Linked DNA regions of Caenorhabditis elegans. The protein of the gene in region 3 interacts with the protein of the main gene of each other region in a pairwise test. Each region holds a gene or a part of one and is shown on either strand. Other genes may lie near its edges.

Region 1 (3,147 bases), on a different chromosome or scaffold from region 3:
TGGTTCAGCTTGCTTCACAATATACATATCGCCACTATCAGTGATTGTCATGGAATTTACTAAAAAAAAATATATTTTAAAAAATGTTTTATACCAGAAAAACTTACATAATCCTTCGATAAACGACTCATGAACAACATCTCCATCAAGTGAAATTACTCTTAAAATTGTCGTTCGATCAGAGAATTCAGCTGATGTGTAGATTATCTGTAAATTTGAATAATTAATAACTTAAGTGAAAATAATTTATTGTACCCTGTCTTTGTACGAAATTACTTGTGGAAATGGGGCCATTTTCTTGAAGAATTTCTTGTCTTCGTGCAGAGTTCGGAGAGTTTTTCCGTTGAATTTATATAAACCGCCTTTTGAAGCTACCTGAAAAATGAATAATTTTTAATTGTTGTTGTTTAATTATAATATACCCATATATTGTTGTCTTGGTCGTAAACAACGTTATAAGGAACTCTTGCCCCTCTTGGCTCCAAATGAAGAAGCATTTCATCAAATCGTTGATAATCACTGGTGTCTGACGGTTCTTGGGTCATTTTTATGCTGAAAATTGAAAATTTATTAGATAATTTATCATTATATTTAGCAAAAGAAATGAGAGTCAACGATTAACTAAAAATTTAAGAGTTTTGCGCAAGAGAAGTGTCTAAAAATCAATAAAAAATTTCACCATACCCAGCTCGCTGCGAGACCTCAATCAATAATTTGAATGCACTCCTTTAAAACCACAGTAATCGGCGAAGTGAATTTGAATATTATTAGATTGAACAACATTTTCAAAGTGAATTCACATTTAAAATAAAGTGAAAATAAAGAAGATTTTGGAGTTAAACATGGTTTAAAAGTGGGAAAAATGTTTTAATTTGAACAAAAATGGTTTTTGAAAATAAATCGATTTCTCAAACATATATTGTGGAAATTGGAAAATCTACAGTACCTAGCATTAAAAAACTTCTTTTCCGCTACTGATTTTAGATTTTTAGATATTCTTTTTTCTTGACTATATTGTTTTACATTGAAATAATTCATTATTAATTATTATAATATCTTTAAAAATATGCCTGCAAATAGAAACATGCAAGACTGCAAGATTTGGAAACGTTAAATAAAAAATTGAGGGAAAAAGATTATTCAATACAAGTAAAACCAACTTTCCATGGCCGCAAAAAGCGATGTTTGGTCTTATTTTTTCAATTTCTCTTCCACGGCCACCAATTCAATTATTCTCTTATCGGCAACACTTGTACAAGGTCGCCATCTCAATGACAATCCGAACGGAATTGAGTAAAAATGTATGCAAATTCGGCCATGAGAGTAGGAAGATGAGATAGTGTAAGAAAAATGGAGACCAGAGGGGGTTGAAGACAATGAGTCACACCTCATGTTGTATGTGTGCGTTTCATCTTTGTCCGTGTTCCGACACATTTAAACATTAGTTTTTGAACAAAAAACCTCATTTTCTTTTCAATTTCACTTTTAAATACTTTCCAATTTTCAGATCAAAAAAAAATAATACAATGACAGCATATGGTCATATGCCAGGAGAAGCAATTGAATGTTTGTCAATTGCTGTTGAATTGCACAAACAAGAAGTTATTGATGCTCATGGACAAGTCACAATTCGAGTTGGATTTAAAATTGGTGGAGGAATTGATCAAGATCCAACAAAAGCGCCATTCAAATATCCGGATTCTGGAGTTTATATCACAAACGTCGAATCAGGATCGCCGGCGGATGTGGCTGGATTGAGAAAGCATGATAAGATTCTGCAGGTAATTATGAAATTTTTAAGTTTTCTTTTCCCAGAGACAAATGATCAAACTTTCTTGCCAACATATACATTGTTAATTAAGAGTACTGTAAACTTACTGCCGAATTTTCATCGATCTTGCATAGTTTTTCTCATGAGTTTTTGGAAATTTTTGTGTTGTTATATTTCAAATAAATAAATATACTTTCATCAAAAAACCATGCAAAATCGATGAAAATTCAGCAGAAATGAGAATTTGAAATTACAGTACTCTTCTTAGGCAATATTTTCTCATTCAACATAAATTTGCGTGAATTAAACTGAAGTGAATTAAACATTTGGCCAATTAAAAAATTTTTGGTAGACAAACTCAAGAACGTTCGAACATTAGCTTAACATAAGTTTCCAAAAAATTGAAAACTCCTCAAAATTTTTCTAGATGATATTGAGAACATCCTCTAACAAACGGACACCCCAACTAAATAATATTCTCTATTTTCAGGTCAATGGAGCAGATTTCACAATGATGACTCATGATCGAGCTGTGAAGTTTATCAAACAATCAAAAGTACTTCATATGCTTGTTGCAAGAGCCGATCTTCCTCCTGTCAGTCTTCATTAACTCAATCTCATTTGTTCCGTTCACATTCAAACTTGCCCTTTTCAATTATCTCTCAAACTCAATTCTGCGCATATATTTTGATATTTATCGGGTTCAAAAATAAAAAATTTTACTTTTTTGACGACACAATGCATCATTTGACAAGAAAAATTGGTCATTCGTGTTTGGAAAAATGAACTGAAAATTTCATAATTGCCTGTAAATTTTTATCATACAAAAATGAATTATTTCAATGTAAAAAATAAAGTAAAACAAAAGAAATTATAAATCTGAAATCTGTCGCAATAAATTTGTTAAATTAAAACATTTTTTCCACTTTTAAACTAGTTGGGATATTAAAATCTTTGTTGCTTTCACTTTATTTGAATTGTGTATACACTCTGAAAATGTTTTTAAATCTAAATAATGAATTTCAAATTTACTACAAGGATTACTGTAGTTTAAAAGGAACACACGTGATTTCACTTGATGGATTCTTGGAACAAATTCAATTGTGTAAACACAGAAAAAGTGATGTACTAACAAAATGTAGTATTATATGCAAATGAAACTTGTAGTACATACTAAAGTCTTCTCGAATCATCTCGAAAATAATAAAATAGTATTTTTTAAAACTTTTAAAAACTAGAAACATTCAATTTTTATCAGAACTCTGAAATTCAAAATTAATATTATCTTCATCATCGGATGAATCCATAGTTTTCCCTTCTTCTTCATATAATTTCAGCAAAGTTCTCTCTTTTTGTTTTCTTTCTTCCGTCACTTT
Region 2 (3,555 bases), on a different chromosome or scaffold from region 3:
CAGATTGTCTAAAAAAGTAAAACTAATTTTAATGAAAATGGAAAACATTTTTGATATATCGCTATAAAGTTATCACTCGCAAGTATTATCAGAAAAAGTATGTAGCAATTTTAATTGTAAGCTAAAATAAATTTTAACTTCTAAGGTCGTATTACATTTTTCGTAATGAAGGAACAGTGTGGTAGTGAAACACGTAAAGTCGTGAACCTAAACGATTTGAAACTAAATTGAATTTAAAATACTTCATCAGTGAGCTTTTTTTTTTTAATCTCTAGTTTCTAAACTCCTGCTGGCGAGCTAGAAAATTCTTGTAAATCTAACTTTTCTATAAATATTTCTTTGATGAGAGCATTTTTCAATGAGTACAGAAATAGATAGAACATACGTAAACCTGTATCAATGCCAACTGAACAAATGTTTATGAGATTTTCTAAAAATGTAGTCGAAGAAGAGACGCTAACAGTTTTTAAATAAACATGTTGTGTTTCGAAAACAACTGGTTTATTCTGGTTATTTTTATGTCACGTCAGATTTTTAAAGCGAGAAGGTTTAAAAAGTTATGCGTTTATTGAAACTGAATTGTTTCGGTATATACAAAAATCAAGAATCAGGAACAATTAAATTACTTTCTGCGGCAGCATTGTCCATTTCCGCATGGAGAGTAGTTAGCTTGGCAAGAGCAGGAGCTCTGTTGTGGGCTCTGCTGGCAGGCAGTAGTTGCTGGTTGAGCAGCTTGGCATGAGTTAGAGCATGATGATTGGCAGGCAGTTTGGCACTGGGCAGCTGGCTGTTGTTGCTGAACACATTGCTGTTGGCAGGATTGTTCGCATTGTGGGGCACATTGGGATGATTGAGCAACAGAAGTCTGGAGAACAATCTGGATGACTTGAGCTGGAGCTTCAGTGGTGGTGTCGTATGGTTGGTACATTGGCTGAGTCTGCTGGGAAGTGCAGGAGTTGTCGCAGGCTGGTTGGCAAGCTGGAGCGCAGTTAGCGTTCTGGTTGGTGTTGGTATTGTATGGGTTGTACATTTGAGTGTTGGTGTTCTGGTTCATGTTCTGGTTGTAGACTTGTTGGGTAGCCTGAGCAGTTTGTTGGCAGATATCAGAGCATTGAGTGTTGCAAGCTGGCTCGCACTGGTTGGATTGTTGCTGTTGCTGGACACATGAAGATTGGCATTGTTGCTGGCACTGTGGTTGGCATTGAGCTTGAGCTTGTTGGATCTCGAGTTGGATTTGGATCACTTGTGGGGCCTGGGTGGTAGTGGATGGGGAATCACAGGCAACATTGCATTGTTGTTGGCATTGTGGCTGACATTGAGCTGCTGGTTGTTGTTGTTGAACACAGGTAGATTGACATTGCTGTTGGCATACTGGTTGGCACTGTTGGTATTGGACAACTGGAGCTTGGGTGGTGGTAGTAGTGGTTGGTGGGTTGTACATTGGAGTGCATTGAGCCTGGCACTGTTGCTGACATTGTGGCTGGCACTGGGACACTGATGGAGAAGCCTGGCATTGCTGTTGGCAGCTCTGTTGGCAAGCTGGGGCGCATTGAGTAGATTGAACCTAAAATTTTTGATTTAATGGTTTGCGAATATGTTAATGAACTGTACCTGAACTTGTTGAGTTTGTTGTGGCTGAGCGCATGAGCAGGATGGGGATTGTTGTTGAACTGGAGCAGATTGGCACGAGCATGACTGAGTCTGTTGAACTTGTTGGCACGAGCATTGGCTCTGCTGTGGCTGAGCACATCCACACTGTCTCTTTTCACGGATTGCACTTCCAGATACCACAAGGGCACATGCAAGGAACGCAATAGAAAGTGAAGTAAAGCGCATTTTAATAATGATTCGAACCGAGGAAATCGGATGGTAATGAAGCTCTGTTCTTCTCTTTTATATGACTTTTCCAGCTGCTCAGTAAACCGGTTCCAGTTCCTAATTTCCTGATCCTCTTCTAAATGTGACTCTCTCTTGCGGCCGCGCGCAAAAGCGTTCGCCTAAAGCTTCAAGTAAGCTATCGAGTCACTAAAAAACTCCGAGCTAATACAGGAATAAATTGTAGTATTGCGCAAGCAAAGAAGAGAGGTCTTGTTTGAGTTTGCTCTATGACCTTGTTCACGCAAGGTTCGCACATGAGAACTAGTTTTCAAGGGCAAACAGCGATAAGCAATCTATTTTTATAAGATTTATCTTTTAATTTTGTTTAAATTTTTGAACCGTTCTAGCTAATCGAAAATCAAAAGAATCAATGAACCACATAGACACGTAGACATGTAAGAACGACAAATTTCGACTCTAATTTAATTTACATGATTTGTCATGCATGACATAAGTTGGTTTTCAGACCCGAACATTTTTTCGATTTGATTGTATAGAGCTACAGTGGTTGCTGCCTCGCTTCTGGGATTTCCTAGCTTCCGGGATCTCTAGAGTTTGAAATTTTAGTTTTGAACTCACTTTGAAACACATTTCAAAGTTTAAAAAATTAGGTATAAAAACATTTAGTTAATAGCCTAACGGATTTTTTAAAAATAAATTGTATCTATGCGAAATGTGAAAGAAACTATGTTTGTATTGTAGCTGAACGCCACCGGCCCAGGTGACTCGAGCCTGACAAGAAAGTTTCAATTTTTCCAGATATTTCTCTCTCATTCATAACATTAACTTTTTCATTTCCTGTTGGCTGCAAATTACAATCATGATTTCCGTGACAACAATCTCTGCAATTATGCTTTTGGTAAGATTTTATTGTAGCTCAAACAAATTGATGTACCTTCAGTTTTCCCTCTGTGGATTTACAATAAATTGGGCAATTGTGATTATAATGATAAAAGTTACAAAGTTGCAAAAACCATTTGCAATTTTAACTGTTGGTCTAGCGATTGCTGATGGAACATTTTCCGCGCTCTACTTATTCTATGCAACTCCAATGGTATTTTTGTAAGTTGAACAAGTTTTTTTTTTCATTCAGCGAGGCCAACAGTTAAAATAAAAATTCCATTCAGCGAGAGCGATATTTTATCAAATTATTCGAGTGTTTGTGGATATGTTCTTATGATTTGCTACAGTGCTTCAACAACTTTTCATTTCATGATATCCCTTAACAGAATTCTAGCAGTGTATAAACCAATGCTTTATCGTATGATGTTTAGTGTTTTGTTCACGTTTTGTATAGTAATGGGAATTTATTCCTACGCACTTACAATCATAACACTATTTTTTCAAATTTGTAGGTTAGTTTAATGTCAACTAAAATTGACGGGAGAGTTGCAGTGGGATGTCAAAATTTTTATGACCAAGAAACAAGAGCATTTCGTTATTCTGGAGGAGACGTTTGTCGTTTTTATGCAACTTATTTAGACTTTTATCTTGTTTTTTCATTGACTATTTCCAGTACTATTTTGGACTTTTTAGCTATCGGAAAAGTGTTAAAAATTAGCTCAAAAACAGAAAAGCACTCAAAAGAACTTAGCTTGTTGAAACAGGTAATATTGATCTTTATAGATTGTTTTAAATAATAATTTCAGTCCATAAGCCAAACTCTATTTGTTCTTG
Region 3 (4,869 bases):
ATTTTGTTTAAATTTAGTTTATTCTCCCAAATTTTAACTGAAAATTCAAAAAACATATCCAAAAATGTGTCTTGCCCCGCGTCCAAATTTAAATTTAAATTTCCAAATCACCTCAACATGAACTCTTTTCGGATTCGGAAAATTGATAACAACGAGAAAATAAATCAGTGAAGGTAGAATTAATAGCAGCGAAATATAGATTTTTGTCTTCGTTTCCATATTCTCCGCTGAGAAGTGTCTATCACAAAACGCGTCGTATGAGTTGGAGGGCTCCGGCTCACCAGGAATTTCAATGGCAAGTGGCTCAAGCCGCCTGACAGCTCTACCTGTCGGTTGCACACTTTCAGCCATCATTCTTCAAGAACAAAAATAAAATGAAAAGTGCGGCAAAAGAATACATTTGCATTTTCTTGAATTCTTTCAATCAGTCATTCACTGTGAGACACGACGATGAAAAAAAAACGAATGGGGTATGCAGTTTCGCAGATATTATTATACAAAGTAAAGTGAAAGTTTTCGTCTGGAATTTCAATATTTATTGATTTTATCATCGATATAAGTTCAGAGATTAAACATTTATACAATAAGAAAAATGGAGGAGACAAATGGGTCCGTTTACACAATGACGTGGATTTCAGATTTTGAAGAATTTTGCGTTTAAGATTGCAGATGAGATTTGTTGAAATAATGAGAATGAGGTGCTTCATTCACAATGGTTGAGATTGAAGCCACGTTGAACGTTGAGCCACTTTTGGGGAGATGCTCGGTCTGGAATCATGAACATTTTTTATGGTCTTGTCGTGAGAAAATCTTTCCAGCTATGTACAGCACCCGCGATTACGGTGGATTTTAGCATTTACTTTATTGATTTTTGCAAACAAATTTTTCGATTTTTTATGTTTTTTTGCAACAAAAATACTTATTATTTGCCAAAAATTAACTCAAGTTATAGAGGAAAAAGAAGAAACATCTTCAAAAAATAGAGAAAGGACCGAAAAAAATAATTATCTGAGTTTTTACACAAAAAAATTCCAAAATGTTTTGTATTTTCGAATCAAAAATCAATTGTTCCGCTTTTGGATATTCAGAAAAAATTGAAAAACCTACTAACTTGTACCTGTACGTTTATTTTAATGATAACTACAAAATTTTACCGTACTAGCGACTACGGTATCTGTAAAGTTTTGGTCCTCTTGTGACCTTACAGTCTGAAATTCTTTAAAAGTATAGCTTTCTGATCTTCTGGACTTGTCTGACAGAAAAATTAATGAGCCGTTAAATTTTTCAAAAAAGTGAATTTCCCGCTATTTTTTGGATGTCAAAATACAAGGGTAGTAAGTTTTCACAACCAAAAAGTATATATTTGGTAAAGTAAAACATTTTCAACGAACCTCACTGCGATTGGCTTCGCGGCGAAAACAGTCTTCGTGTTCAGTTTGGGCGATCGTATTTTACAAGGTTGTGCAAAATGTTGGGTCGGCTTGAGCTCAATGGGAAGAGCACGCCGTACTGGTGGCGAACGAGCAGGCGAGAAGCGGAGTGGTGCTGGTTTTGTTGGCTGCTCGGTAGATGACACGTAAACAACGTTGGCACGGAACATAGCGTCGGCTTTCTGTAGAAATTGAAGTTGTTTTTTCAGCTTTTTCTAGATCATAATTCTAGCTTCACAGGTGAAACGGCGAATAATGCACCTAAAACAATTTCATGCCCGTGGCCGAACTTCTCTAGGTGAACCTTCTAGTCCATAAGTTCAAACGGCAGATCTTACCCCCCTCCCCTCATACAATTTAAAGAGCAGCTGCCTAAAATTTTCTGTTCAAAATTTCTAGGAGTACCACTGAAAAATTACAGTTCGACTACTTTATTTTTTTTCAAACTATCCGAGTTTCAGAGCTGTGGCCGAATTTTAACAAAGTACAAAAAATCACCTGTTTATTCCATCGAATGACTTCTGCTTTCTGTGGAGTTTTCGCCTCATCATTCAAGCTCAGCTGGCTCAAAGTGCTCGGCAAGGACGGCTCAATACTCGAATGCCGTTTCGACGATTGATTCAGTACTGTGAACGCTGATCGGCGCTGAAAATTTGACAATTTATGGATTTATGGATATGTTATTGATCTACCTCTTTTGTCAAATCAATCGGATGTCGAGGCGGCTTGGAGAATCTGAAATTTTTTTTTTTTGAATTGTAAAAGTTTCAGTGCATAAGAAACTCACAAGTACTCTGTATTGGAAGTAGTCGAATCGAACATGCTCTTGGGACGGATACGTTGCGGAGATGTCTTCCATGCTCCACGATGACAACTTCTAGAAGTTATGACAGGCGGTGCGAAGGAAGTTTTCTCCACATCATTCTGCATAGAATGGGAGACACTGCTATGCGTCGATTCAAGTGACATCTTCCGAAATGTTGAGTAGTTCATTGTTGTTGAACTGTTCCTGTAATCCGACTAGTTTTCCTTTTTTTTCTTTTTCTACGAAATTCCGTCAAATTTCAATTTCTACAAAACCTTTTTTTGTGTTTTGGGAAGTGCGGCATTTTTTACCAAAAATACCCACAGTACTATTTCTGATAATGTCCCCTTTCAAACTGGAAACACTCTTCACTAATACAGGAAATACAAAATTTGGTGAATTGTGATTTTTACTTACTCATAAATGTTTGAATGTCGATTTGAAGTCTTAAAATCTTCCGGTGTTGAACTTCGCGTCGAGCTGATAGTATTTTGAGATGAGATTCCAGAATCAACAGATTGAAGTGAGAATCTGTCCAGAAACACGTCTCTGGTCTTTTTCTCTCGCGTCTGTACATCGTCTAAACTTCCAGGAATGATTGGAAGACGTGAGCGAAGGTTCTGAAATCACTTAATTTATGCCTTACACAAAAGTATGTCCCGTGCCTACACGTCTGCCTACTGCCTAGGCAGCTTTTGGCACTCCTAAGGAATCAAATTCGCCCGTGAAATATGCACAAACCTGTATCAAAAGTGTATGTTTTGCTCTCAACATGTCCAATTCCTGCATTCCACTGCGACACGCCTCATACCGATTCCGGAGGCGATCGTCATGATTCATGGTCATCCGTGACCTGCTATAATAATCCTTTTCTGGTGGTGGTGGACCGTACCCAGAAGGACCACCACCGATCTGAGCACAGTCGGTGTCACGTGGCAATCGACTCAGATTCGGTGCTGAAATTGGTTTCAAAATTGCTATATTTATGACTAACAAGAAAAAAGTAAAGTTACTCTCAGACTTTAGAGAAATATGCCACTGGAAAGTGCTTACTGAGAAATTTCAGACGGCAAGAATTTAGAGCAAAACAATTTGAAATTAATTTTCAAACTGAAATTTTTCCGAGCATTGCGCTCTATTTTAAAGGCTTATAGATTTATATCGAACATTTTTTTTAGAGTTTTGAGGATTTCGAGTTGAGCTTTTTGGAAAAATTTCAAAGTTTTGTAGATTGAACTCTTCAATAAGTACTTTCAAATGGAATATTTCTTGTTGTAAAATATGATGGATGGTAAAATGCAAACCAAAAGTTATGTGTGAATAGGTAGAAATTTTAAATAATTGATAATCTTAAAAGTTTAAATAAATGTTTGTGAAAATCATTGCATGTGTACGCGTGTGTGTGTACAAGGGCAAAAGTAGTTAGTCAATGAATATGCACTCGTCCACTTGAGACCCCCCTTGCGACCAGGGGGAACGGGTGTTTATTCGATGAAACGGTAGGAGACGGATAAGTCGATTATTAGAAGAAGAAGAAGAAGGAAGCACACACACAGAAAACTTGAGCAAACTGCTGCTCGATTCGCTTGGATGAGCATCATTCCGACTGTGAATGGGCAATGCTTCCGGTATGAGAAATTAGTATTAATTTCAGGAATTTTTTTTGGCTAAAATTTAGACCTGATTTCATTGAGTTTAAATTAATTTTTAATGGCCACGGAAAATAAAACTAGGCCATTCGAAAAAAGGAGCTTTTTCTCAAAAAAAATTGCTTCTGAGCATTTTGGGTAAGTTAACTTATAAATTTAATAAATTATATCCTAGCAAAATATTTCAAATTTCTTGGAAATTTATGTACTTACAGTAAGAAAAAAGCTGCAAACTTAGTTATTTTGAAAGTCGACCAAAAAATAGTTTGCAATGCTCGAAATTACTCAAAAAGTAATTTGGAAAATTTGGCAGTTTACCAAAAACTTCAACTGAAAATTTTTTTTTTAAATCTAGAAATTTATTTTTTGGGTTACAAATATATTTTATAGTTCTCTATAGTAAAATATGATGCATATGGATTATGTGTGAACAGAATTTTTTTTAAATGAAGATCCAGGTCAACTGTAGATAGAAGGGAACTTTGTGAACATAAAAAAGTCGGATAGAACCCGATTCGCGGCCTTGCAAAAGGAAATAAACTGTGAACAAATGTAGTGATGATGGTAAGTGTGTCAAGTTACTTTAAAGGCACAGCCTGATTTGTTGGAAGAAATTTACAAGGTAAAAACCTTTTTTGAAATTATGCAAATCACAGATCGAAAGGAAGGAATGCGACAAATATAAAACAAAGAAAAAGGATTTTACGATGATAACGTATTGTTCAAGGGGTGATAATATGATGATGATAAGTTGAGGAATCAGGCAGCTGATCGACTGGGCCACACACACTCACACACACGGAAACAAGAAGGCCTCCTCTCCTTCTCATCGGCAACAAGTGAAAGCAGCCCCCTCCGGCCTATTCTAAGAGAGAGAGTGTCCTTTCGAGACATAATTCATATTTCGATAATGTTGCCTCCTGATTGTTGCAGGAATGTTGAATGACGAGATACCACACGGCGAAAAAGACGAAGGAAAAGGAGA

What was found.
Region 1: the proteins of T20F5.4 (region 3) and txbp-3 interact in a two-hybrid assay, tested with the Caenorhabditis elegans proteins (one large-scale study listed by BioGRID).
Region 2: the proteins of T20F5.4 (region 3) and abu-15 interact in a two-hybrid assay, tested with the Caenorhabditis elegans proteins (one large-scale study listed by BioGRID).

Annotation. Positions count from the first base shown.
Region 1 is NC_003281.10:5,045,522-5,048,668, reverse strand, and holds txbp-3 (Tax1-binding protein 3 homolog), read left to right. Parts: upstream 1-1,507; 5' UTR 1,508-1,526; coding exon 1,527-1,781; intron 1,782-2,261; coding exon 2,262-2,381; 3' UTR 2,382-2,493; downstream 2,494-3,147. Other genes in the region: vtip-1 (Vha Twelve Interacting Protein), read right to left, coding at 1-59, 108-207, 256-375, 423-545; C45G9.14 (uncharacterized protein), read right to left, coding at 3,016-3,147. UniProt on the Caenorhabditis elegans protein: May regulate a number of protein-protein interactions by competing for PDZ domain binding sites.
Region 2 is NC_003283.11:5,156,904-5,160,458, reverse strand, and holds abu-15 (Activated in Blocked Unfolded protein response), read right to left. Parts: upstream 1,858-3,555; 5' UTR 1,837-1,857; coding exon 1,612-1,836; intron 1,565-1,611; coding exon 623-1,564; 3' UTR 552-622; downstream 1-551. Other genes in the region: srx-39 (G-protein coupled receptors family 1 profile domain-containing protein), read left to right, coding at 2,699-2,737, 2,780-2,940, 3,006-3,229, 3,274-3,485, 3,528-3,555.
Region 3 is NC_003279.8:3,912,118-3,916,986, forward strand, and holds T20F5.4 (uncharacterized protein), read right to left. Parts: upstream 3,192-4,869; 5' UTR 3,082-3,191; coding exon 2,977-3,081; intron 2,856-2,976; coding exon 2,653-2,855; intron 2,440-2,652; coding exon 2,218-2,439; intron 2,166-2,217; coding exon 2,123-2,165; intron 2,076-2,122; coding exon 1,929-2,075; intron 1,613-1,928; coding exon 1,392-1,612; intron 769-1,391; coding exon 708-768; 3' UTR 518-707; downstream 1-517. Other genes in the region: T20F5.8 (TPA-induced transmembrane protein), read right to left, coding at 112-354.